3 linked regions of the Callithrix jacchus genome follow. The protein of the gene in region 3 interacts with the protein of the main gene of each other region in a biochemical or structural test. Links are inferred from orthologs where the notes say so. Each region holds a gene or a part of one and is shown on either strand. Other genes may lie near its edges.

Region 1 (7,446 bases), on a different chromosome or scaffold from region 3:
TCTGCCACCACCTCCAGAGCCTGGCACTGCTGACCGCCCTGTCTGTTTGGGGGCTGTCCCCTGTCACCACGAGGATCAGCTGCACTGCAGCTGTGACCATCCTGGTGTGGTCCAGGCCTGAGTCATCACTAACTAGGCTCTCACGGCCCCAAAAGGAGGGTCAACCACATCAGTTCCTCCCCTGCCCACCTCCCTATACCCAGCCAGGACAGAGGACACAGGGAACCACCCTTAGCTCCCAGAGGGCACCCACGGGTGGGCCCTCTCCATCCTGCACCAAAGCCAAACTACACACAGTCCTCCCCAGGGCTCTGCCTCTCTGCCACCAACACCCCCACTGGAGCCATCCGCACAGGGTCAGCTCTGCCCTCCCGGGCTCCCTGACCATCGCGGGCTTGCCGTGTACCCAGGCTGAGGAGGGCGGGATCTGAGCCTGCTCTTTGGAGGTCAGATGAGGCCCAGCTCTTCCTGCTCATGCTGGGAGCTCAGGTAAAGAAACCTCAGGTCTCGGGCCAGGCACAGTGGCTCACACCTGTCATCCCAGCACTTTGGGAGGCCGAGGTGGGCGGATCGCTTGAGCCCAAGAGTTCAAGACCAGCCTGGCCAACATGGCGAAACATTGTCTCTACTAAAAACAGAAAAGTTATCCAGGTGTGGTGGCGCATGCCTGTAATCCCAGCTACCTGGGGGGCTGAGGCAGGAGAATCACTTGAACCCAGATGTAGGAGATTGCAGTGAGCCAAGGGGAAAAAAAAAAAGAAACCTCAGGTCTCAATGACAGAAGAGAGAGGGGGAGAGCTTGTTCCTTGGGTGCCCCTGACCTCCTGGAGCCCCTGTCTTCAGCCAGACTCATGCACAGAGGGACCTGCCACTCAGGCCACCCTTTGTTCCTCTAAAAATACGCCCAGAGGAAGCCCCTCCTAGGGCTTCCTGCAGCCCCCAGAGCCTGAAATAGCAAAGGGGGAAGGTCCCACCCAAGGCAAGGTGCCTCAGCTACCACACCCTCCAGATAAAGTCCGAGGGCCGGATTTTTCCACAGGAAGGTGACCGGTGCATTTGTGTCCAAATCAATGGAAAAATGCCTGGGGTGGAGGGGGAGCTTCCTCCTGGGGGAAGGAGGGTGCCTGGGAAAGAGGGAGGCCCCAACCCTCAGCCTGGAGCCAGGGGCCTGGGCCAGCCAGCCCCCCTGTAAGGCCAGCCCCCACCAACCCACCCGGGGCTGGGCATCTTGGCCCCGAGCACTGCCATAGTCTGCCCTCAAGCCCCAGGAACCGAAACAGGTCCCACAGGACCTATGGCCAGGCCTGTGCCCAGGCTCGGCTCCCCACAGGGAATGCCGTCTCCCTGCGAAGATAGCCCCCGGGGCTCAGCTCCAGGCGCAGCTAGCTCCAGGCGAAATGTTTGGGAAAGGGAAAAAGTCAACGTGCAGATCCCCTGCTCCCCCAGAAACTCCAGATCCCACACCTCCGACCCAGGCCCAGGTTCTCAAAGTGGGGCCTGGGAAACCCGTGGATTCAATTCCCTGAAGGGATTTCTTTGAGAGCATGTCAGGATGTCCAGGAAGGCAGGACAGACAGCTTCAGGCTGTGCCTACTGGCCCCCAGGCCTACCAGGCTGCCCCTTCCAGCGGCCACCTAGCCAGAGGTGGAGCAGGCCGAGCCTCAACTTTTCTGGGTCTCCTCGCTGGGAGCAGGTGCAGGGGAAGGAGGAAGTGCTGCCCAGCAGGGCTCCAGAAGGAACAACAGACAGGATCCGTGGGCCTCCCTTATATCTAGGGGGAGGGTGGGCTCACCCTGGAGCCTCCTGGACCCCTTCCTCAAGGCGCTGCCTGCAGAGGTGGCCGGCCCCCTCTCAGGCCTTCCCAGCATGCAGAAGCCACGGACGACTCCCAACACAGACACAGAGCTGGGCACACAGAGACCTGGAATGCCTCTTCCCAGGGTTCCTCGAGCCAACAGGCTGGGGGTTGGGGAGGCGGTGGCTTGTCAGAGTGACCCCTCCATAGTGCAGTGGCTCCGGAGCATCCCGGAGAAGAGGAACGGATCAGGATGCTCTGACTCCTCCCAGTTTAGAACACAGGCTGAGGATGGAAAGAGTGGCCCCCAGTAGCCAACAAGATGGTGTCTGGGGCAGAAAAGGAGCCCCAAAAGGCAGAAGAGACCAAGATTCTGGAGGGGACCAGAGGCAAGATTGTCGTCGAGAGAGGCTCTGGGAGAGGCTAGGGCGGTCCCTGTGGCCCAGCCCACCATACCTTCTTGCTGGCATCAGAGCTGCGGCCGCCCACGTGTGCCCAGTCTGGCTTTGGCTCCCAGGGGTCGTGGGCGGGCGGGAGCCCTCGCTGGGCCATCTCCTCAGTGCAGGTCAGCTGCCGCCGGCGCAGCTCCTCATCCGTCTCCTGGTCCACCACCAGTAGCCGGGTCTGCCCCTCCACAGCCTTGATCCTTTGCACCACCTGGGACAAATGGGTGGTAGGAGTGGGTCAGAGGCCTGCACTCCGGTCCGCACACGGGCAGTGCCACCGCTCTGGGCTGGCCTGGGCATGCGGACAGGCAGCTGGTCTGCATGGGTGGGTGGCTGCACCAAGAGGCCTGCCAGCCCCGCCCCCCACCCCCAGACTCCAGCGGCTCCCTCCCTCTGCCTCTGGGCTCTGGACACTAAAGCCCAGGCTGCCAGGGCTTCAGGGTCCTCCCAGGGCCTTGCTCTTAGCCCTGGGTCTTCTCCAGAGGGGTCAGGAAGGGGCTGCAGGGTACGGCAGCTGGGGAGTCCTGTCCGGAAGTGACAAAGATGGTGCCCAGCTGAGCTTCAGCTTTTCCGTCTTCTCGTGCATGCGTATGCGTGCATCCGTTTCAAAGATTGTATTTCCCTCCGCGTTCGAGGAAGACGAGGGTCTTCCTGGGCCCCAGTTTGGGTGTATCTATGCCCATTCCTGTCACTCTCTGCCACACAGTGCGGGAGTCTAAACCCCTGACCCCAAGCCTTGCATCTGCCTGCAGACCATGACCATGAGCCCATTCCCGTGGGACCTGCGGAGATGGAAGAGCTGGGCTCCTGGCTCAAGGACCCACACATAGCCCGGGAAGCAGGCAGGACTGAGCTGCAGCCGTCGAGGGGGAGGGGCAGGTGCACCTGTGGACAGCTGTGGCATGGCTGTCGGCGTGTGCGTGCAGGTGCCTGTGAAGTATCTGGACCACACAGGGGGCCAGCATGCACCCTCAGAGAGAAAGCAGTGCCCACTGGGCCGTGGGGAGGAGGAGGGGCAGCCCCACTTCCACCTGCTGCCTGTGGGAGGGTAGACAGGGCTCCCTACCAGCTGCCGGGCTCAGCAGGGGTGGTGAACAGATACGAGGGGCCGAGACAGGCCCATCTTCCCACTGGTCCTCCTCTCTCCCCATGAAGAGTGAGGCAAAAGGAACCCAGGGCCCAGCTGTTTCTTGACTATGTGTCCCAGACCAGTCACCCCAAATCACCAGCATCACTTTCTTCTCCTGTCCCATGAGGCTGTAACTGCCCCTCTTGCCCTCCTGGGGCAGAGGGGAGGCTCCGCCATGACCTGTGTGTCCAGTCCTTGAGACCAGCACCCCAGGGGCCTTGGATAAGCAGATGTTCCCAGGGAAAAGGTGGCAGTGACTGTCCCCTCACCCTGCCAGCCACACCTTCGGTCCCTCAGGCCCAGGCCCCCAGCCTGATCCCCACCTTCTTCAGCAAACAACCTTACACAACAGACACTCTGGATGGGAGGCAGGGGCAAGCTGCAGAGGAATGGACAGGTACTGGGTGAACAGGAGACCAGCTCCAGGCCTAGCCATGAGCCAACCTGCTATCTCTTTTTTTATTTGAGGAGTCTCATTCTGTTCCCGAGTCATCTCAGCTCACTGCAATCTCTGCCTCCTTGGTTCAAGCGATTCTCCTGCCTCAGCCTCCCAAGTAGCTGGGACTATAGGCGTGCACCACCACGTCCGGCTACGTTTTTGTATTTGTAGGAGAGTCAGAGTTTCGCCCTGTTAGCCAGGATGGTCTCCATCTCCTGAAATCATGATCTGCCCGCCTTGAGCTCCCAAAGTGCTGGGATTACAGGTGTGAACCACCTCGCCCGGCCCCAACCTACTAATCTCTAGGATCCAGGACCAGCCATGTAGACAGGATTTGCTGGTGCTGTGAGGGACAGGGGACGTGGAGAACAAAGGGTGTGTGGACACTGGACTCCAACCAGGGTCTGGAGTGAGTCCCTGGCCTGTGGGAGACAGACAGACTCAGGGGTCAGAACCCACAGAGAAAAGGCTCTGTTCGCATTGGCCAGGAGGCAGGAGGCTTCAGCCAATGTCCCGAGCCAAGCTAAGCAGCCTCTTAGGAGGGGCAGTGCCTTTGGAGCTAAGGAATGTGATTGCCACCAATGGCCAACTCCCACCTGTCCCAGACACACCTGGCTGGGACACACAAGAGTATGGACACACAGACTCACCAGCCTGCAGACACACAGTGACAAGCATACAGGCCAGGCATGCAGACACACAGGCTCACAGACACACTCATGTTCACACACAGAGTCCAGCGCTCACACGACCAGGAGTCTAAACCTGTACACACACACACACACGTGTGCAGACCTGGATACACGCACACTCCGGCACACACACAGGTGCAGACACACTGATGCCCTTAGCAGTCCCCTCCTGGGTACACACAGGCAGGCGCGTGCACACATGGCTGACCCCAGAGGGACCTGCACACACACACCCAGCTGTGTTCACACACACACGTGTACACACACACCCAGGCAAAAGCACCCAGGTCTCCACCTTCCTTGAGGGGCCCCAGGCTGCCTGACACCCTCCTTCATGGCACACTGAGGCCAAAAGGCAACCAAACGGCGAAGCCAACGGCCAGGAGCCGCAGTGCGGGCCCCTCCCTGCCAGGATACACCCCCACCCCGTGCAAGGCTGAGCTTCCTGCGCCGGGACTGGGAAGGCGCCGGGCCACTGCCTCCCCGCAACGTCCGCGTCCTCCCCGCGGGACCCCCCTCGGGCCCCGTGCGACCCCCGCCCACCCCAGGGAGAAGTGCTCGTGGAGGCGTGGGCGGACCGGGGCAAGCTCGGGCCCCCACCTGGTGGTGCGTCTCGCTCTCCACGTTGACGCCGTTGACCTCGACCAGGCGGTCCCCAGCGCGCAGCGCGGCGGCCTCGGCGGGGGAACCGGGCTCCACGCGCCGGATGAACTGCCCGCGGCGGCCCTTCTCGCCGTGCAGGTGGAAGCCGTAGCCCTGCTCGCCGCGCACCAGGCGGCACAGACGCGGCCGCAGCGGCTCCGGCGCGGCCATGGCGCCCGCTGCCCACCGGCCGCCCGCAGGCAGGGGTGCAGGGGAGCTCGGGGGCTGCGGCGGCGGCTTCGGCAGCTCCCGCTCGGCTCCCGTCGCCTCGGGCTCCGGCTCGGGCTCCGGCTCGGGCTGCGGCACCGCCCCCGCGCCCGCCCCTTCCCCGCCCCCGCCCCCGCCGTCCGGCCGCCCCCGCCCCCGTCCCAGCCATCCCGGACAGGCCCCTGCCTCTGCGCCCTGACAGTCCAAGGGGGTGCGGGGGGAGGCGGCAGGGCCAGGGGACCCCTCTGTCTCGCCCCTACTCTGGACGGCCGCCCGGGTGCCAGCGCCTCTGCCTTCTATTCCAGGAACATTTACTGGAAACCTACTGTATGCGCAGCACCGAGGCAGGTCTTGAGGTGGGTGACGGGTTGGAAAAAGGGTCTCCAGGCCAAAGGACTCCCCCCACAAAGGGGCCAAAGGGTAAGAACGAGGGCCACGGCCCTCCACCCTCCCCAGGTAGCCCTCCCCGACCCCCTTGCCTGTCTCCTCTAGGCTGTGCCTGATCCGGATCCCTCCTGCAGCCAGAGCTGCCCTGGGACAGGGCAGCGGCTCAGGAGGGCCCAGGAGGCAAAAAGAGGGGTTTAAAAGTGACACGCAGCAGCCCCTTTCTGCACCCTGGGGGCCGGTGACTGGGAGACTCCCTGATCTACCCACCGTGTTTCGGCTATCTGCACCAAGTCCATTCCTGAGCCCTCCCCCCATTATTTCCCTTGGCTGGGCCCCCCTCACTTGTGTCCCAGCCCACCCCAGGCCTGGACTGTGACTTTACAGTCACAGGCTCGGATGAGGGTAGGGGAAGGAGTCTCAAAGGTCTCTGCTACCCGCTCCTGACATGGGATACACTGCACTGAAGTGTCTGAGCTCTGAGTTCTGAGTGGTGGCCACTGTCCACAGGCAGACCCCTGTAGGCCTCCCCTCCCCTGGCCCACAGCCTCCACCTGAAGCAGGAGTGTCCCCCTTCCCCAACAGAACAATCACCATCACAACAAAATCATTTATGGCTGAGTGCATTTACCTGGAACAACCCTAGGGGTCTGGCCACTTTACAGATCTGGAAACTGAGGTCTGAAGAGGGAAGAGACCCACAAAGTTTCCTCAGCTCCATTTGGGCCCAGGGATGTGAGATTCAGAGTCCATGCTCTTCCCCACCCAGCTCTTCCTCAGTCTCCAATGTGGGAAGGCAGCTGAGTCCAGGCACAGCCCCAGCTTGCCCTCCTCCCCAGTCCAGCCAGGCCCCCTACACATACCTGGTTCCCAGGAGTTAGGCACAGCCAGCCCAGGCAATTCCCCATGTGGGCAGGAGAAGCAGGCTTGGTGCAGTCCTCCTCTCCCTCTCCTCTCTCCAGTGCCCTCAGCCTAGGCTCCCCTGCCCCCGCCCAAGCACAGGACCCGCCTCTGGGCAGCCTCCTGGGCCATGCCCCCCTGGGTGCCCACATCCCGGCAGCTGCCCCTAAAAGCCACTTAGGCTGAGGCCCCATGGCTGCTCCCTACCCCCACCCCTGCAATTCCTGGCTGAGGCTGCCTCAGGCTCCCGCCCGGCTGGCCACCTCCATCTGTCTGTCTGCATGTCCAGGGGCTGCCTGTCCGGCCTGTGGCTGGCCTCCCTGGACACAGCCTGGTGCTGCCACCCTTGGAGCCTGTGAGGGTGGCTGTGGGCAGTGTGAGCCACCACGCACCCCACACACCACTGCTGGTGGGGCTTAGGGGGTCATCCCACATCAACCAGGGCCACCCAAAACCTGACAGGCTGTAGCTTCAAGGCCACACCAGAGTCAGGAAGGTGGCTGGATGGGAGCCCCCAGCAGGGTAAGGAGTGGGGGTAAGGGGGCTTGCAGACCTTTCCCCCTAGCTGGGGCAGACTCCTGATCAGCCTCGGGCATACATCAGCCTTCCCTGGCCCAGGACTCAGCTGATTCCTCCTCCCAGTGACTGAAGATGGGATGGGGGGCTGGGAGCAGTGGCTCACACCTGTAATCCCAGCACTTTGGGAGGCTGAGGCAAGTGGATCACCTAAGGTCAAGAGTTCAAGACCAGCCTGGCCAACATGGCAAAACCCCATCTCTACTAAAAAGACAAAAAAATTTAGCCATGGTGGC
Region 2 (7,362 bases), on a different chromosome or scaffold from region 3:
ATAAATAATTTAGCTGGGTGTAGTAGCACATACCTGTAGTTCCAGCTACTTTGGAGGCTAAGGCAGGAGGATTGCTTGAGCCCAGGTAGTAGAGGCTGCAGTGAGCCACGATCATGCTACTGCATTGCAGTCTGGGTCACAGAGCAAGACCCTGACTCCAAAAAATAAAAGGAATGCCATCAGGAGGTCTCCTGGTATGATGCTGTGTTTTCCAGCTTTCTTCTGTGCCCCTTATGGGAATGGAGCCTGTCTGTGCAGGGAGTGTGTACCCTGAGAGAACAGGAAATAACACGGTGGGGGGCTGCATCCTGGTGGGCTTGCTGTGGCTGGCAGCAGCTCCAGGAGTGGGGTGGTGGTCCCAAATCAAAGAGCAATTCAGGGACAGAAGTCAGATGCAGAAGAGTGAGGGTGTGAGTGGATATGCACAGGGACAGCACGAGGCAGCGGGCAGAAAGAGTCCTGGAAGGGTACCTGGTGTTCCCACTACTCCAGGACTCCTCCCTTCAGAACACGTTTTTTTTCTCTCTCTCTCTTCTTTTTTTCGGTTTCCTGTTTGGCTCAAAACTAGATGCACCTACCTGATGGGAGAGCCCAGCCAGTTTCCCCTGAGTCAAGGTAGGTTGAGTGGAGCTTTGTTGGTATTTTGGGAGACTGGGAGGATTTTCTGGGGTGTCTCTCATGATTCATTTCTAAATTCAAAGTTAAATCCTCAAAAAATTGTGTAGAAATAATACACAACAGCTGTTGTGTTTGAGTGCATGCTATGTGCTAAGCCCTATGCATTCTGTGTAGTAGAGTAACCTAAGAGGGTGGGTATAATTATGATGTGCCTATACTCAGTAAGCACTCAATAATTCTTAGCTATTATTATTGTTACTTTACAAATGAGAAAACTGAGGCTCAGAGAGCTTAAGGTTAAACATCAAGTAACAATGCTGGGATTGACTGCAAAGACCATGTTCTGTCCACTCTGCATTCATTCAGTATTTATTAAGTGCCTACTGTGTGCCAAGCATAGAGCTAGGCTTTGAGAATGCAGCAGTGAATAGTACAGACTTGCTTCCTCATCTCATGGGCATGGTAACTGAAGATTTAGCCAAACCTGATAAACTGCTGAAGTGTGCAATGCAGAGGCTGCCTTGGGAACTTGCACCAGTGTCTCCAGCAGGGAGGCTTTTGGAGGAGCTGGGCTCAGGCTGACCCTGGAAGGGTAATGAGCTATAGTTCCCAAGTCAAAATCCATTGCCTAAAGGCCTGGCATGAAGAAGGACATTTTGTTCAGTTCTTGCATGACTTTGAGAAGGTCTTTTCCCATGCTGAGCCTCAGTTTTTCATCTGTAAATTGGGCTTAGTTCTCTAAAGGGCATGGGGGGGATGCAAATGGTGCCGTGGACAATGGGATCACTGGATGAATGAAATGGGTCTGTGGTGGGTATGAGGTCCTGTGGCAAGTCACTGTTTCTCTTCCGTTCCTCGTCATATGTGTCCTCTCCATTTGGCTCTACCCTTGAGCAGTGGCCAACCCAAAGGAGTGTTTGGGGAGCAGTTTGATGCCAAGAACAAGCTGACGTGCTCCATCTGCCTGAAGGAGTTCAAGAACCTGCCTGCCCTGAACGGCCACATGCGGTCCCATGGGGGAATGAGGGCCTCCCCCAACCTCAAACAGGTTAGCAGGAGCCAATCCCTGGTCCTTTCTAGGCCATGTGCTGCTTGCTTTGCTTTGCTGCTGTCAGAGAGTGATGTGAGCCCCACGCGGGACATGGCGACACACCGTCCTCCCTTGACAGGAATGCTTAGGCTCTGAGGCTGGAAGCCAGCCAGGTCAAAGAGCCCCACTTCCCCAGTGTTACAGTGAGCAAGGTCAAAAATAGGCGCTAGAAAGCCTTTTAGGGCATCCCAGCCTCTCTCTCTGCCTCCTAGAGAAGACAGCAAAGGAAAACATGTAAATGCAATATTGTTTTTAAACTTCTGCTGCTTGACACACCCAAGACTGGGGCCACTGGGGCCTTGCAGATTAGTGGTCAACGGCCAGAGAGAGCTAATACAACCAGCAGGCTCTCTGCCAGAATTTTCTGTTTACTGATGCAGTGGTGTTTGGCTCAACATCCAAAGATCCTTAAATACCCTCCAGATTATCCAAGGTAGGGTACCCAGATAGTAAACTATCCACAAGTTTTAGAGTTAGAGTAAAATTAAAAAAAAAAATTCTCAGAATTCTTTGAATATTGTTACTTTTAATTTAAATCTATGGGATTAAATCTCTGTTGACCAGAATTTTTGATTACCCAGATCACTCCATCTCCTGGCCATGCCAGATTATGTTTTTTAAAAAAGCTTTTGTTTTTACTTATTAAAAGTACATGTTTTGGGTCGGGCATGGTGGCTCACACCTGTAATCCCAGCACTTTGGGAGGCTGAGGCAGGTGGATCACCCGAGGTTGGGAGTTCAAGAGCAGCCTGACCAACGTGGAGAAACCCCATCTCTACTAAAAATACAAAAAAATTGCCAGGCGTGGTGGTGCATGCGTGTAATCCCAGCTACTCAGAAGGCTGATGTGAGAGAATCCCTTGAACTCAGGAGGTGGAGGTTGCGATGAGCCAAGATTGTGCCATTGCACTCCAGCCTGGGCAACGAGAGTGAAACTCCATCTCGAAAAAACAAAAAAATACATATTTTGTATCTCCAGTGTGGTTTCCTGACCTGAATAAAATTTAGGATGGAATGCCTACTTCCATTTGACAAATGAATAAACTAAGGCCCACAGAATTAAAAACTGCACAAGATCCTACCTTTTTTGGACTGATGACAAGTTCGTGTCCTTTCCTTTAAAAGCAATGACAACCACATAATTTTTAAAAATTGCCTAATACACAAGTAATAAAATGGTCAAGATTTTTTAGCTGTAGAAAATGGAGGCCACGGCCTCCTCTACCATCAGCTGGCATCACTCCATCCAAGGGACTCAGGATTGCAGGAAGGAAATCGCCCTGCAGTGGTTATCACCCATACCTGATGTCCTGGAATCCTTCAGGAAAAGCAAAGTGCATCCCCTTTGTGAGAGCTTCTCTCAGCCCAGGATCAAAGCCTTTATTGTCTGTGTAGGAGGAAGGAGAGAAGGTCCTGCCGCCTCAGCCCCAGCCGCCACTGCCGCCTCCGCCTCCGCCTCCGCCGCCGCCACAGCTCCCTCCCGAGGCAGAAAGCCTCACGCCTATGGTCATGCCTGTGTCTGTCCCTGTCAAGCTTCTCCCGCCCAAGCCCAGCTCTCAGGGGTTCACCAACAGCACCGTTGCCGCCCCCTCCGTCAGAGACAAGCCAGCCAGCTCGATGTCGGACGACGAGATGCCTGTGCTCGTGAGGATGACCCTCTCTCCCCCACACTCACCCCAAGGGGCTGCCCCCCGCACGCCTGCTGTGAGTTGCTGCTCTGCCCCACCTGCCTGGGTGGGGACATCCCTTTGCTTTCTTAGAGATGGGGCAGCCCTTCCAGAGTCACTGACCTGAGCTCAACATGGCTTGGCCTCTCAGGGCCGAACCCCTGTGGCCATGGTGGGAACCCCATCCTTGATGCCAGACTAATGGCCTGGGTTAGGTTCTGAGAGACCCTAAAGTGTTCCCAGATCACCAGAGATGATCATTCAGCTGGGACTCACTGGGACAATCATCGCCGTTATTGAAATACGGAAGTACCGTATACCAAAAAATAAGCAGCTTGCCCAGGCCTTGGCCCCTTCCCCAGGATCTCCAGACCTCCCATATCCACTACCAAAGAGGTAAACACTGGCGCGGCAGGCTTCCGCGCAATGGCCCTGGCATCCATTCTGACAATCAGCCTTACCAGATGCTTATTATTTTGTCTGCTTAAATCCCCTGGAGAGCCTAATTTGTTAAAGTTCCCAAAGTAGTTCCACTAAGAGCCACCCACCCCTAGTCTCAGGAAAGCAAAGAGATTTGTTTTTCTCACTCACTGTTCTCCTTTCTCCAATCCTAAGTGCTTCACTCAAAGAGCTTAACTTGGCTCTGGGAAGGGTTTCTTTGTCTGTGGTCTGTCTCTCTCTCTCTCTCTGTCTGTCTGTCTCTTGGACCCTAGGGAATTTATGATCTGTGTGGTTGACAATATCAAACCTATCTCCCCACAGAGTGGTGTGTTGGGGTCATATTTGTCCTTAGGAATAGGCAGCTGCTGAGAGTCCAGGGGGCATAGGGTGAGGCTGGGCCAGGATACAGGGAGAGAGGATAATTAATAGAACTAGAACAGTCCAGAAAAAAACCTTTATGATTCTCTGTGTTAATATCAAGTCCTCAAAAGAAGAGAAACTGATGGAGAACTGGGGGGGGGGGGGAGATTCTCATAAGCTGTCAGGACTTGGGGGGCCAGCCACAGGCAGAGAGATGAAATGACACATCCAAGCTCCCTCTTTGCCCAGGGGAGTTCGTGATTTGGTGGGAGAAACACTATTTCCCTCCTTGGGGAACTCTCAGTTAAGGGTTCATAATCACATGGGGGTCAGAGTCCCAGGCACACCCCCTGCCACCATCACCCATTCAAGATGGTGAGAAAAAGACAGGGGCAGACAAGAAACGGATGCAGCAGGTGTGACTGGATGGGAATATACTTGGGTGGCGAAAGTCATTATGGACCGAGGAGGGGCAAGGGAGTTTGCTCAGGAGATCATCATTAGGGTTCTGAGCAGGATTTGGAAGGAAAGGATGATCTTGACTTAATGGACGGGTGAGAGAGACCTGTCGGTTGGGGGGATTGTGAATTGGATACGTGTAGGTGGGACTGAATACTTGTGAACAAGGTCCTGGCACTTGGTGTAAAGAAATTAAAACATCCAGGACAGAGCCCTGAGTGCCCATCCCAGCTTGGCTTCTAGCCAGCTCCTCAGTGGTTCTCATCCTTCTCTGTGGACAGCTTTTTAAAGATTTCAGTGCTTGGTCTCACCCTCAAAGTGTCCAGATAGTTTGGTGGGGTGGAACACTATGCTTCCTCTCAAGTGGCAACCAGGCATGACATTCTAGGTGGCTTCTGTGGCCCAGTGGCTCAGAGCCTTTACCTGGAGGATCAGAAAATCCAGGTTTAGGCCAGGCGTGGTGACTCACACCTGTAATCCCAGCACTTTGGGAGGCTGAGGCGGGTGAATCACCAGGTCAGGAGTTCAAGACCAGACTGGCCAAGATGGTGAAGCCCCATCTCTACTAAAAATACAAAAATTAGCTGGGCATGGTGGTGGGCGCCTGTAATCCCAGCTACTCTGGAGGCTGAGGCAGAGAATGCTTGAACCCGGGAGGCGGAGGTTTCAGTGAGGTGAGATCACACCACACCACTGCACTCCAGGCTGGGCAACAGAGACTCCATCTCAAAAAAAATTCCAGGGTTAGAGCTGCAGTAACAGGACAAGAAGCTGGAGGAGTGGGAGCCCCAAAGGGACCTCTGGCCCTGTAATCAGAGGTCTGGATTGCAGTGCTGCGTTAAGATAGCTTGAGGTCTACATGTTCTTAGATGACCTCATCTGTTACCCAGAAACAGGGTAGGCTGTAACTTCAGGGCTGCTTTCCTTATCCGGGCAACAGCCTCCTTCCCCCATTCTCAGCCCCTCTCCCGCCTCAACCTCAGGCGCTGAGGAGCCCTCTGGTGGAGAGAGGAGGCAGTTGAGCGCGCTAGCCTAAGGAGTGCCCCCTGGGGGTGAGGTAGGGGGTTAGAAACCTCACTCTGGAGCTGGGAGCCTAGAACCCTCTGCCTCCCTAGACTCCCCCTCCTAGAGACCAGGATGGCACCATGGAAGGCAAGGAAGCTGAGGGAGAAACAGAAGGCGCCAAAACCTTGGCGCTCTGGAGGGAGAGGAGACCAGAGCAGAGACCAGAGCTTTGATGCTCTGGAGGGAGAGGAGACCAGAGCAGAGGAGCCCATGGGGCAGGTCACATGGCCTGGAGGCAGCTGGTCACATGACCGTGGCCAGCCCTTCCCATCACCCCCTGCTGCTTCCTACCCAGGCGCCACCCTGGGCTCAGGACTCTCCAGGACCTGCAGCTTTGACTGGCCCCTGGCCTGCAGGGCCTGAGAGGGCACACCAGACTGTCTAGAACCTTCTTCCCTCAGGTATCCCCGTGGCCCCTTCCAACCACACCGCCTGTGCAGCCACACGCAGCTCTCAACTTTTCTGGGCTGATGCTACCACACAACCCGAGTCTGTTTCCGGTTTGGCTTTGGCATGCCCTGCTCATCTGTTGACGTGCATATGTTTACTTATTAGTATATATGTATCCATGTGGCAGATCCTCCTTCCAGACTATGCTTGGTTCCGCTGCCATTAAAATAAACTAACTCTCCTGACAGGAAGCCAACCTCAGAGAAGAGTTTGCTACAAATAAGCTACAAGTTCTGGAAGCAATAGTGAGGGGTGGTGAGGGGGGAGGTCAACCAGACCCGTGCTTAGGTGAGCACACTGAAAGGGCCTTAGAGGTCATCGCGGGCTCTCCCCGGTGCTGAAAGTGACCCAGGAGAGCCCGGTGTGGGTCGCTGGCCGTAGGAGCCTTGGCTAGGCTTGAACCCCCTCTTCCTGCCCCACAGGTCTCGGTGCCAGCTTCCCTGAAGAGATTGTTCTGTCCCCTTCTCAGAACATGTGGTATCTGTTCCTGATGTCCGTCTCTGGGGAGCAGAGGGGGAATCAAAGAGCCCACTCAGCTGGATTCCACTCAAACAGATGGGAATGTAGTGATAAGCAATGAAGACATTGAATTTATTACTTCTTGACCACCCACTATTCCTATCGCCCCCAGCTCTTTCAGAAATTAGGGATTTCTTCCAAAACTTTAGTTTTCTTCCTAGTCTAGCAGCCAGAACTCGCTTTGCCTGAAATGGATGTGGTGGCGCGGGGTGGGGTGGGAGGCGGTCAAGCAGAAGGTCTGTCTGCTCAGACAGTAGAAGGCCCCCTTCCCTGAACCTGTGGAATTGGCCTGCAGGGGAAGCTGAAGTATTCTAATCATTTTGTTGTTCTGCTTTTAGGAAATCCCCAAGAAGCAGCAGCCCAGCCTGCCCAAAGCCGAGGAGCCCCTCAAGACCGTGCAGGAGAAGAAAAAGTTCCGGCACCGGCCGGAACCACTCTTCATCCCGCCGCCGCCCTCCTACAACCCGAACCCCACCGCCTCCTACTTGGGCGCCACCCTGTACCAGAGCCAGCTGCGCTCCCCACGTGTCCTCGGAGACCACCTGCTCCTGGACCCCACCCACGAGCTGCCCCCTTACACGCCCCCACCCATGCTGAGCCCGGTGCGCCAGGGCTCGGGACTCTTCAGCAATGTGCTCATCTCCGGCCACGGCCCTGGCGCCCACCCACAGCTGCCCCTGACGCCCCTGACCC
Region 3 (7,462 bases):
ATATTATCGGATATAATAAATAAATGTTCCATTTGCCTCAGGAGAAGACTATCAAGACAGATTTGAACCAAAACAAACTTACACTGTTTTTTACTTTATTATCTCAACCTAATTAAACACTATTAAATGAGCATTTTTAAAGACATCAACTTCCATCTGTAATAGTTTTAAACAACATTTTGCATATACTTGATCCAAACAAAACAGAAAAAAGTTGAGGTCCTACCTGTAATTTCAAAATTAGAGGAGAGAGAATTCTATTTTGGTCTTTTCAACCTAGTGCACTTTTGCCATTTTGTTAAAAACAAAAAGACTGATAAAAAATAAACAACCCAATGGTCATGTTTCTGTTTTCCCAGAGAGGAGAGTTTCTGTTTTGAAGATCTACTAGCTTGAAAGACATTTACCACTGAGGGACTGCATATAAAACCTAAAAATCTGGGCCGGGCACGGTGAATCACGCCTATAATCCCAGCACTTTGGGAGGCCGAGGCGGGTGGATCATGAGGTCAAGAGATCGAGACCATCCTGGTTAACATGGTGAAACCCCGTCTCTACTAAAAATACAAAAAATTAGCTGGGCATGGTGGCACGCGCCTGTAATCCCAACTACTCAGGAGGCTGAGGCAGGAGAATTGCCTGAACCCAGGAGGCAGAGGCTGCGGTGAGCCGAGATCGCTCCATTGCACTCCAGCCTGGGTAACAAGAGCGAAACTCCATCTCAAAAAAAAAAAAAAAATCTAAAAATCTGTATTTCCCATTACATTTTTTGGGGAAAAATTGGTAAGTTACATCAAGCTTCAGTTGAAGTGCTTATCATTTCACAATTTAAAATACTGTAAAATTAGACTCCCCAAAAAGCCCTACTTATTTTGTAGTTTTCTACCAATAAAATATTTATTTAAAAAGATACAAGTAGCACCATACATATTCCATAAGGTGCTGCTAGTCCTGTAATTTCCAGAATTTGAAAATCTTCATGGTATTCTTTCTGTTTAGTGCTAGGCTAATTAACAGGAGTTTGGCACAAGCTCAAAATGAGAAATACCAAACTTCCACAAATGAAAAGATTATAGAGAGGTTCAGAACCAAGACTCAATAAAGCTTTCAAAATATTATCCATGCTAACAAACGTATTTAGATCATACCAAACTAAAAAACATATATGGAAGATATAACAGAGCTTAACATAAATATTAAGTAAAACATAAAAACAAATAATATTCTATATCTTGACACTGCTTTACTATCTTTTCCAATACATATTTTTCTTAGATAATTGTCTCCCACCATTATTTTCACTTACTTTAAGAAGTATCTTTGACCAGAAGATGTCTTTGCCATCTCCCAACCTGCTGGCAGAGGTACATCATCAGGTATCTCAAAAGAAGACTGTCGAAGATGCTGCGCTGTGGGTGTAGCTGCTGGGCCAGACACTACTCCAGTGGGGGTCAGTGTCCCAGGAGAAACAGCTCCCAACTGCAGAGAAGCTGGAGAGGAATGAGCTCGAACATGCTGTGGAGTCAGGGCTCCTGCAGTGCCTGCATCAGTACTGGCCTATTAGGAATATTAACATGAAAAATTAAGAAAAAAAAAAAAACTTTTTTGAGAGTCCCTTTAAATTTCCCAGTCAGTGCTTAATTGCAGCCAAATGTCTAAGAACCAAAGGAAAATTTCAACATTTAATATTTGACACCAGAGAGCACAGGTTTTCAAATGGATACTTTTAATATATAATTTTAATATAAACTTTATAAATATTTGTAGTTTTATTGATGAGCAGTCCATCTAATGAATTTCCACCTACTATACACTAGACATGTAAAGGCAACTAGTACTGAAACAAATAAAACATTCCAAAAATAATAGTAAATTTTAAAACCTAATTTTTAAAAGGTCAATGCAATATGGGTGCTTTTCCAAGTCCTAAAATATTCTAAGGATAAACACAACACAAATAATATGCATGTTTTACTAGGTTTTAGGTAATTCATTTTTTTTCCCTAGGTCAAGGCCAAGTAAGAACAAACCCTTGTCATTTTTTCCCATCATAAAATGCCAACAATAAAGAAATCGTAACAAATTACACAATTTGTAATGAAATCGACAAACTTGAACTGCCCAAATGTTCTTAAAAGCCATCTACAATGAACATGATGGAAAAAAAACTGTATCTTTGTATGTAGAAGATAAAGATGTTATGAGTCCAATTATAACTTAATAACTGACACACATCCACAACTCTTTATGAGCAGAAACAATTCCGCACTCCAAGTTGGCTAGTGTGACACTGAACAAATACCTTAACTTCCATATGCCTGTTTTCTCGTTTGTAAAACAGTTTTCATGACAAAAATGGATGTACATAAAACTTAGTCACCAGTTTGTGAATAATAGTATTTGCAACCTAGATTTGTTCTACTCCTAATCTTGCATATCTAAATTTTAAAAATTAGAATTAGAGTTTGATTACCAAAAAGTTAAGAATTTCCTAGATTCACAAAGGTAAGGAAACTGGAAGGACTTAGTAGAGTCATATCCATGCCTTTAAGTGATGGACCTTTCTTTGTTTCCCATCAGAAAAAGTGTGATTTAGGAAATCGTTAGCAGAAATAAAAGTCGAATTTACAGATGCACAACACTTAAAAACTTATTAAAAATAAAACTATAATACTCTGAATTTTAGAACTGCTGGATAGAAATTCACGTAAAAATTACTAGAAGAAAAAGTACACTTTCCAGTTATGATTCTTTGTGGCTGATAGATGCCACAAAATGGGGGATTCAATCTATGTCTATTATACTTTGAAAATACACTGTCTGTAAGGTGCATGCCAACATGTATTTACCCATAATGAGTCCATAAACCCACTTTCAGGGGTATGAGAAAAAAGCACACCTAAGTCTACTTCTGACAAATTGAAGTGTTTAGGCAAGAAGCTAAATTGTTTTTCCTTCCTCCTCCTTAACCCGGGTTTTTGTCATCAGGTTAAGTGAGCTTTTCTGAGTTCCAAAACCCGACAGGAGAATATACAACAGGCCTGCAAATAGGAGAGGGAATGGGAGTGGGGGCGGTAACTCTTTCCACTCAAGTTACAGTCCGAGTCGGCTAACTACACTGCAGTATTTGGAAAATCTATTAACTTTTGGGCAAAGTTCCTATGCTCAAGTTTAGCCTCAAGCAAGTTCTTTCTAAAAAAAAAGGAAAGAAAAAGAACCCTAAACAAATCCACGGGGACCTATCGGAATGTTAACACTTTCATTATAAATAGTTTCACTTCTATGCTGAATCAAGTTGGCAAAATGATCGAACGTTGTGTATGTGGAAAAGCAGCCATGTTCATATCCGCAATAAGAATTATAAAGCAATGGCGATTCCAGAATTAGTCATCGCTTCCCAAACATTAACTTTTAATCACAGTTGAACTAGGCAGGACTTGGCCTATGGGTCAACCTGCAGTGTATTATCAAAGGCTTGTGTTAAAACGTCGGTACAGTAAAGTGCAACTCAGTTCCTGCGCAACGTACAGATGTGGCTAATTTAAAAGCGTTTCAGCCGACTGTAAATAATAGTCTACAATTGGGAAACCAACACGCAACCTACTAAGTTTGATAAGAGCGAGCCGGCCCAAGTTCCAAGACACAAGGGAAGCACAGGGGGGTGTGAAAGAACTCCATAAACAACTTCCAGGAAAGTCTGGGCAGGGAAAGCCCGAAACCTGTGTTCTAAAAGCGCTTGAGCCTCGAAGAAAATAAAAGCTTACGGGAGGGGGAGGGGAAACGGGGGGGGGAAGAGCGAGCAAAAAAACTAAATGGACCGGTTCAACCCCCACCCCTAATCAACATTGGAAAACAAGAGAACAATTATTTGACTCCCCAGGAGACTGAAGTGGACCGAGAGGCCCCAAAGGAAAGGGGCCCAGGGCTCAACTTCAGAAACTCGGCCGCCGCTGGCAACTCACCCACACACAAATGCCAGAGGCCCCCCTCCCCCTTTCCCGGCCCGGCCCCGGCGGGAGCGAAGTTGCGGAGCGCGCGGAGGCGCGCGCATTGTGCAAGCCCACCGCGGCCCAGGCCCGGCTCTCCCCACCCCCTTCCTTCCTCCCCACACCCCCGCCACTCCCGCCAACCTCCCGGGAACCCCGGGAAGAAAGAAAGGAAGGAAGAGGGAAAGCACGCCCGCCGGGGCTGCAACCGCAGAGAGAAACTCAGAGGGGAAAAACAAATCTCAGCCCCGGACTCTGGGAAGAGTAGGGAGCCGGTCACCGCAGCCAAGGGGACGCCTCCAGTTCCTCCACTTCGCCGCGAGACCCCCACCCAAGACCTCCCGCAACCCCCCCTCCCCTGGCTAGAGCTGGCGGCCGCGACTCCCGAGCGCCCCCCAGCCTGGGGCCCGCCCGACGGGGAAGCTGGGAGAGGGGCGGCGAGGTTACCTGTCGGGAGTGGGATTTAGGCTCAGGAGGCTTGAAGAAGGAGTCGGGCAGCTTCCGGAGCCTCATGGGCACTGTCTGGGGCACGTTGGCCGTCTTGGGGTTCATGACGGCGTTGAAGAGCGCCTCCAAGTCGGTCTCTGAGTCCCCGCGGACGTGCACGATCTGATGCCCGGCGGGGGGTGCCTGTGACGCCGCCTGGGTCGCCGCGGGTGCCGGCTGCCCGGGTGCGGACGACGGGCCCTGCCCTTGAGGCTGCGCAGGCGGCTGCCCTTGGCCCTGGGGGGCCGCTTGAGGCGGCGGCTGCTGCCCAGGATCCATGGCTTCTGCCTCCCCCGATGCGCACCCCCGGACCAGGCGAGCGAAGGCTCCGCCCGGACGCCCCGGCTCCACGGGCCGAGGTGGAGAAACGGCGAGGGCTGCGGGCTGGGCGGTGGGAGCGGCGCTCTCCTAGCTCTCAGGGCCGGGGGACTGTGCTGCGGCCCCGCATCCCCTGCGCCCCGGCTCCACTGGTCTGGTGGCTGCGCCTCGGGAGGGGCTGCGAGGGACTCGGACCTGCGGCGCCTGAGAACTTTTTCCCTCCAACTCCCTTGACTGAGGCCGGACGGCTGGTTGCCTTTCCCCTCCTCCCCGTTTCTCTTTTATTTCCTTTTCTTGTTCCTTCCTTCCTCCCTTTCTTTTCCCTGGCGGCGGCTGCGCCCGACTGAGACAGAAACTCGCCTCAGACGCCAAAACTAAAGTTGGGAGAAGCGCCCGCCCGCGCCGCCGCGGCCCCGCCTCCCGGCTCTTCCTTCCTCTGCGCGCCCGCCCGCACCGCGGCCCAGTCTGCCGCGCAGGGAAACTTTTCGCTGCAAGTTGCTACATTCCTGCACACTCCCGGCCCGCGGCGCCGCTCCCGGCCGCACGTGACTCGCCCACCCGGGCCCAGTCCGCCCTCCGCTCGCGCTCTGCCGGGCAGGGGCCCGGAGCGTGCCCTGTGTTCCGCCTCGCGAACCACAAACGCTGAGTCCAATCTGGGTCCAAACTGTAGTCTCTGCGGAGAAGGCGGCCGCCCTTGGCCGCAGGAAGTCCTTCCGCCCCGCTCGGCCCCTTCTTCGCCCGGGCTCGGGAAAGGCGCTTCCAGCTCGCCGGGACCTGCGAAAGGGCCAAGGTCGAAAGAAGTGGAGAGAGGATGTGCGAACCCACCTCCACGCGTTACCCCGGTTCGACCGAGCGGAGCGCCAGTGCGGGCTTCAAGCCGGGAGCATAGCTTGGAGTTAAAATAGATACTGTGAGGCGGCGCTAATGTTAATAAAGGTCCTTTTTTTTTTTCAGCATTAACTTTATTTTGTAATTCTGTTTCATTTATGTGTTGGTATGCAAAAACTCACTTGGAAAGGATAAATGGTTACTGAAATTGAAGCTTTGAGACTGGGTCTGTGACTCCCTGTAACTTATTAAAAGAAACAAAAACACTGCGTATTTTTCTCAGTATTTTTCTAAATACTGAAATCACATCAACTTTTTTAGTACTCGAATTTGCAGCATAGTCACTGGAAGCCTCAACCCAAAAAATCAGTGCTTCTTCAGGTACAAGCATTCATTCCTCTTTACCTGTCTTTCATCCTCTGGGAGCTGGGTCCTACCCCTGCTATCCCTGTGCCTGGCCCAACAGTGGACTCTGTGAATGTGGACTGAATAAGAAATGAATGGGCAAGGAGGTCACCGCAGGCACGCGATGTGCAAGGAGCTCATTGGAAACCACTCAAAAACAATGGAAATGTGTGTTTTAAGTCACACTCTCGGGTTTTTTTTTAAAGCATCTTTATTGGCTGGTCCAAGTGCAGTGGTGTTTACAACTAATTGATCGCAACCAGTTACAGATTTCTTTGTTCCTTCTCCACTCCCACTGCTTCACTTGACTAGCCTCAAGAAAAAGAAAAAAAAAGTCTTTATTGAGATGTAATTCATATACCATAAAATGTTAAGTAATATTTGTACATATTTGTATATTTAAGCATTGAATTTTTTTTAGTATATTCATAGGATTGTGCAACATCAGTCTAAATTTAAATGCTCTAGCCCATTCTAAGGAAATGTGACTTTCTTGTTTTAATGATTTGTCTACAATGCTAGTGAAAGAGGTATAAAGAGGATTAAGCAAGGAAAAAGTCCGTGAGCAAAAAGATAATCTCTTCCTCCAGCCAGAACATGCCCGGTAGAATTCTGAAGGATCCGTATCACCTGGTGTGGTTGGGCTGGGCCAGGGTAGCAGGTTTCAGACACTCAAAATTCTAACAGAAGATTCCAGTCAACTACTCTGAACCCCCAGTTTCCTGTCTGAAAAAAGGGATCAGTGTAAATGACACCGATGACTGCTTCCCGGATTTGTTTCTACTTCCAAATGTCAAGTGCATTTAATGACAAATCTCTAGGTTCTGGAGTTACAGAGTTTTGAGTTCAGGTCCCAGTTCTGCCATTTACTAGCTGTGAGATTTTGGACAACTTACTTAATTCCTGTTCTTTAATATTAGCATTGGGGTAATAACACCTACATAGTTGTTGAGGCATTAAATGAGTCAGTGGATATAAAGTATTTAGCCCAGTTTGGGACATGCAGTGTCCTGCACCAGTGAGTTCTGCATCAGTGTCAGTGGTCATTGTCCTGTGTTCACAGATTACTTCACGGATAGTGACATAGCCTTTCCTTGCAGCAGCTCTCTCTTTCTAAGCACAGCCTTAGGGACCCTTTTGGCAGTCCCTTCCTCTCTTATCCAATAATAAGTCTACACAAACAAAACCTTTAGGCAGAAACTATGCATTAAAAACTTTGCCTGAAAGAAAACTTTAGGAACCAAAGTGGGCCGGATATGGTGGTTCATGCCTGTAGTCCCAGCACTTTGGGAGGCCAAGGCAAGCAGATCACCTGAGGTCAGGAGTTTGAGACCAGTCTGGCCAAAATGGTAAACCTTGTCTCTATTAAAAAAACAAAAATTAGCCAGGTGTGCTGGCATGTGCCTAGAGTCCCAGCTACTCAGGCAGCTGAGGCATGA

What was found.
Region 1: the proteins of YAP1 (region 3) and NHERF2 form a complex in vitro, tested with the Homo sapiens proteins (2 studies listed by IntAct, with this or other methods). The link is inferred for Callithrix jacchus from reciprocal best matches to the Homo sapiens genes YAP1 and NHERF2.
Region 2: the proteins of YAP1 (region 3) and TRERF1 interact in a test that uses a peptide from one of them, tested with the Homo sapiens proteins (2 studies listed by BioGRID and IntAct, with this or other methods). The link is inferred for Callithrix jacchus from reciprocal best matches to the Homo sapiens genes YAP1 and TRERF1.

Annotation. Positions count from the first base shown.
Region 1 is NC_133513.1:4,724,042-4,731,487, forward strand, and holds the start of NHERF2 (Na(+)/H(+) exchange regulatory cofactor NHE-RF2), read right to left. Parts: upstream 5,433-7,446; 5' UTR 5,315-5,432; coding exon 5,102-5,314; intron 2,453-5,101; coding exon 2,252-2,452; intron 1-2,251.
Region 2 is NC_133505.1:50,773,472-50,780,833, reverse strand, and holds part of TRERF1 (transcriptional-regulating factor 1), read left to right. Parts: intron 1-568; coding exon 569-615; intron 616-1,515; coding exon 1,516-1,666; intron 1,667-3,103; coding exon 3,104-3,412; intron 3,413-7,007; coding exon 7,008-7,362.
Region 3 is NC_133511.1:37,537,728-37,545,189, forward strand, and holds the start of YAP1 (transcriptional coactivator YAP1), read right to left. Parts: upstream 5,136-7,462; 5' UTR 4,752-5,135; coding exon 4,434-4,751; intron 1,558-4,433; coding exon 1,307-1,557; intron 1-1,306. UniProt on the Homo sapiens protein: Transcriptional regulator with dual roles as a coactivator and corepressor. Critical downstream regulatory target in the Hippo signaling pathway, crucial for organ size control and tumor suppression by restricting proliferation and promoting apoptosis.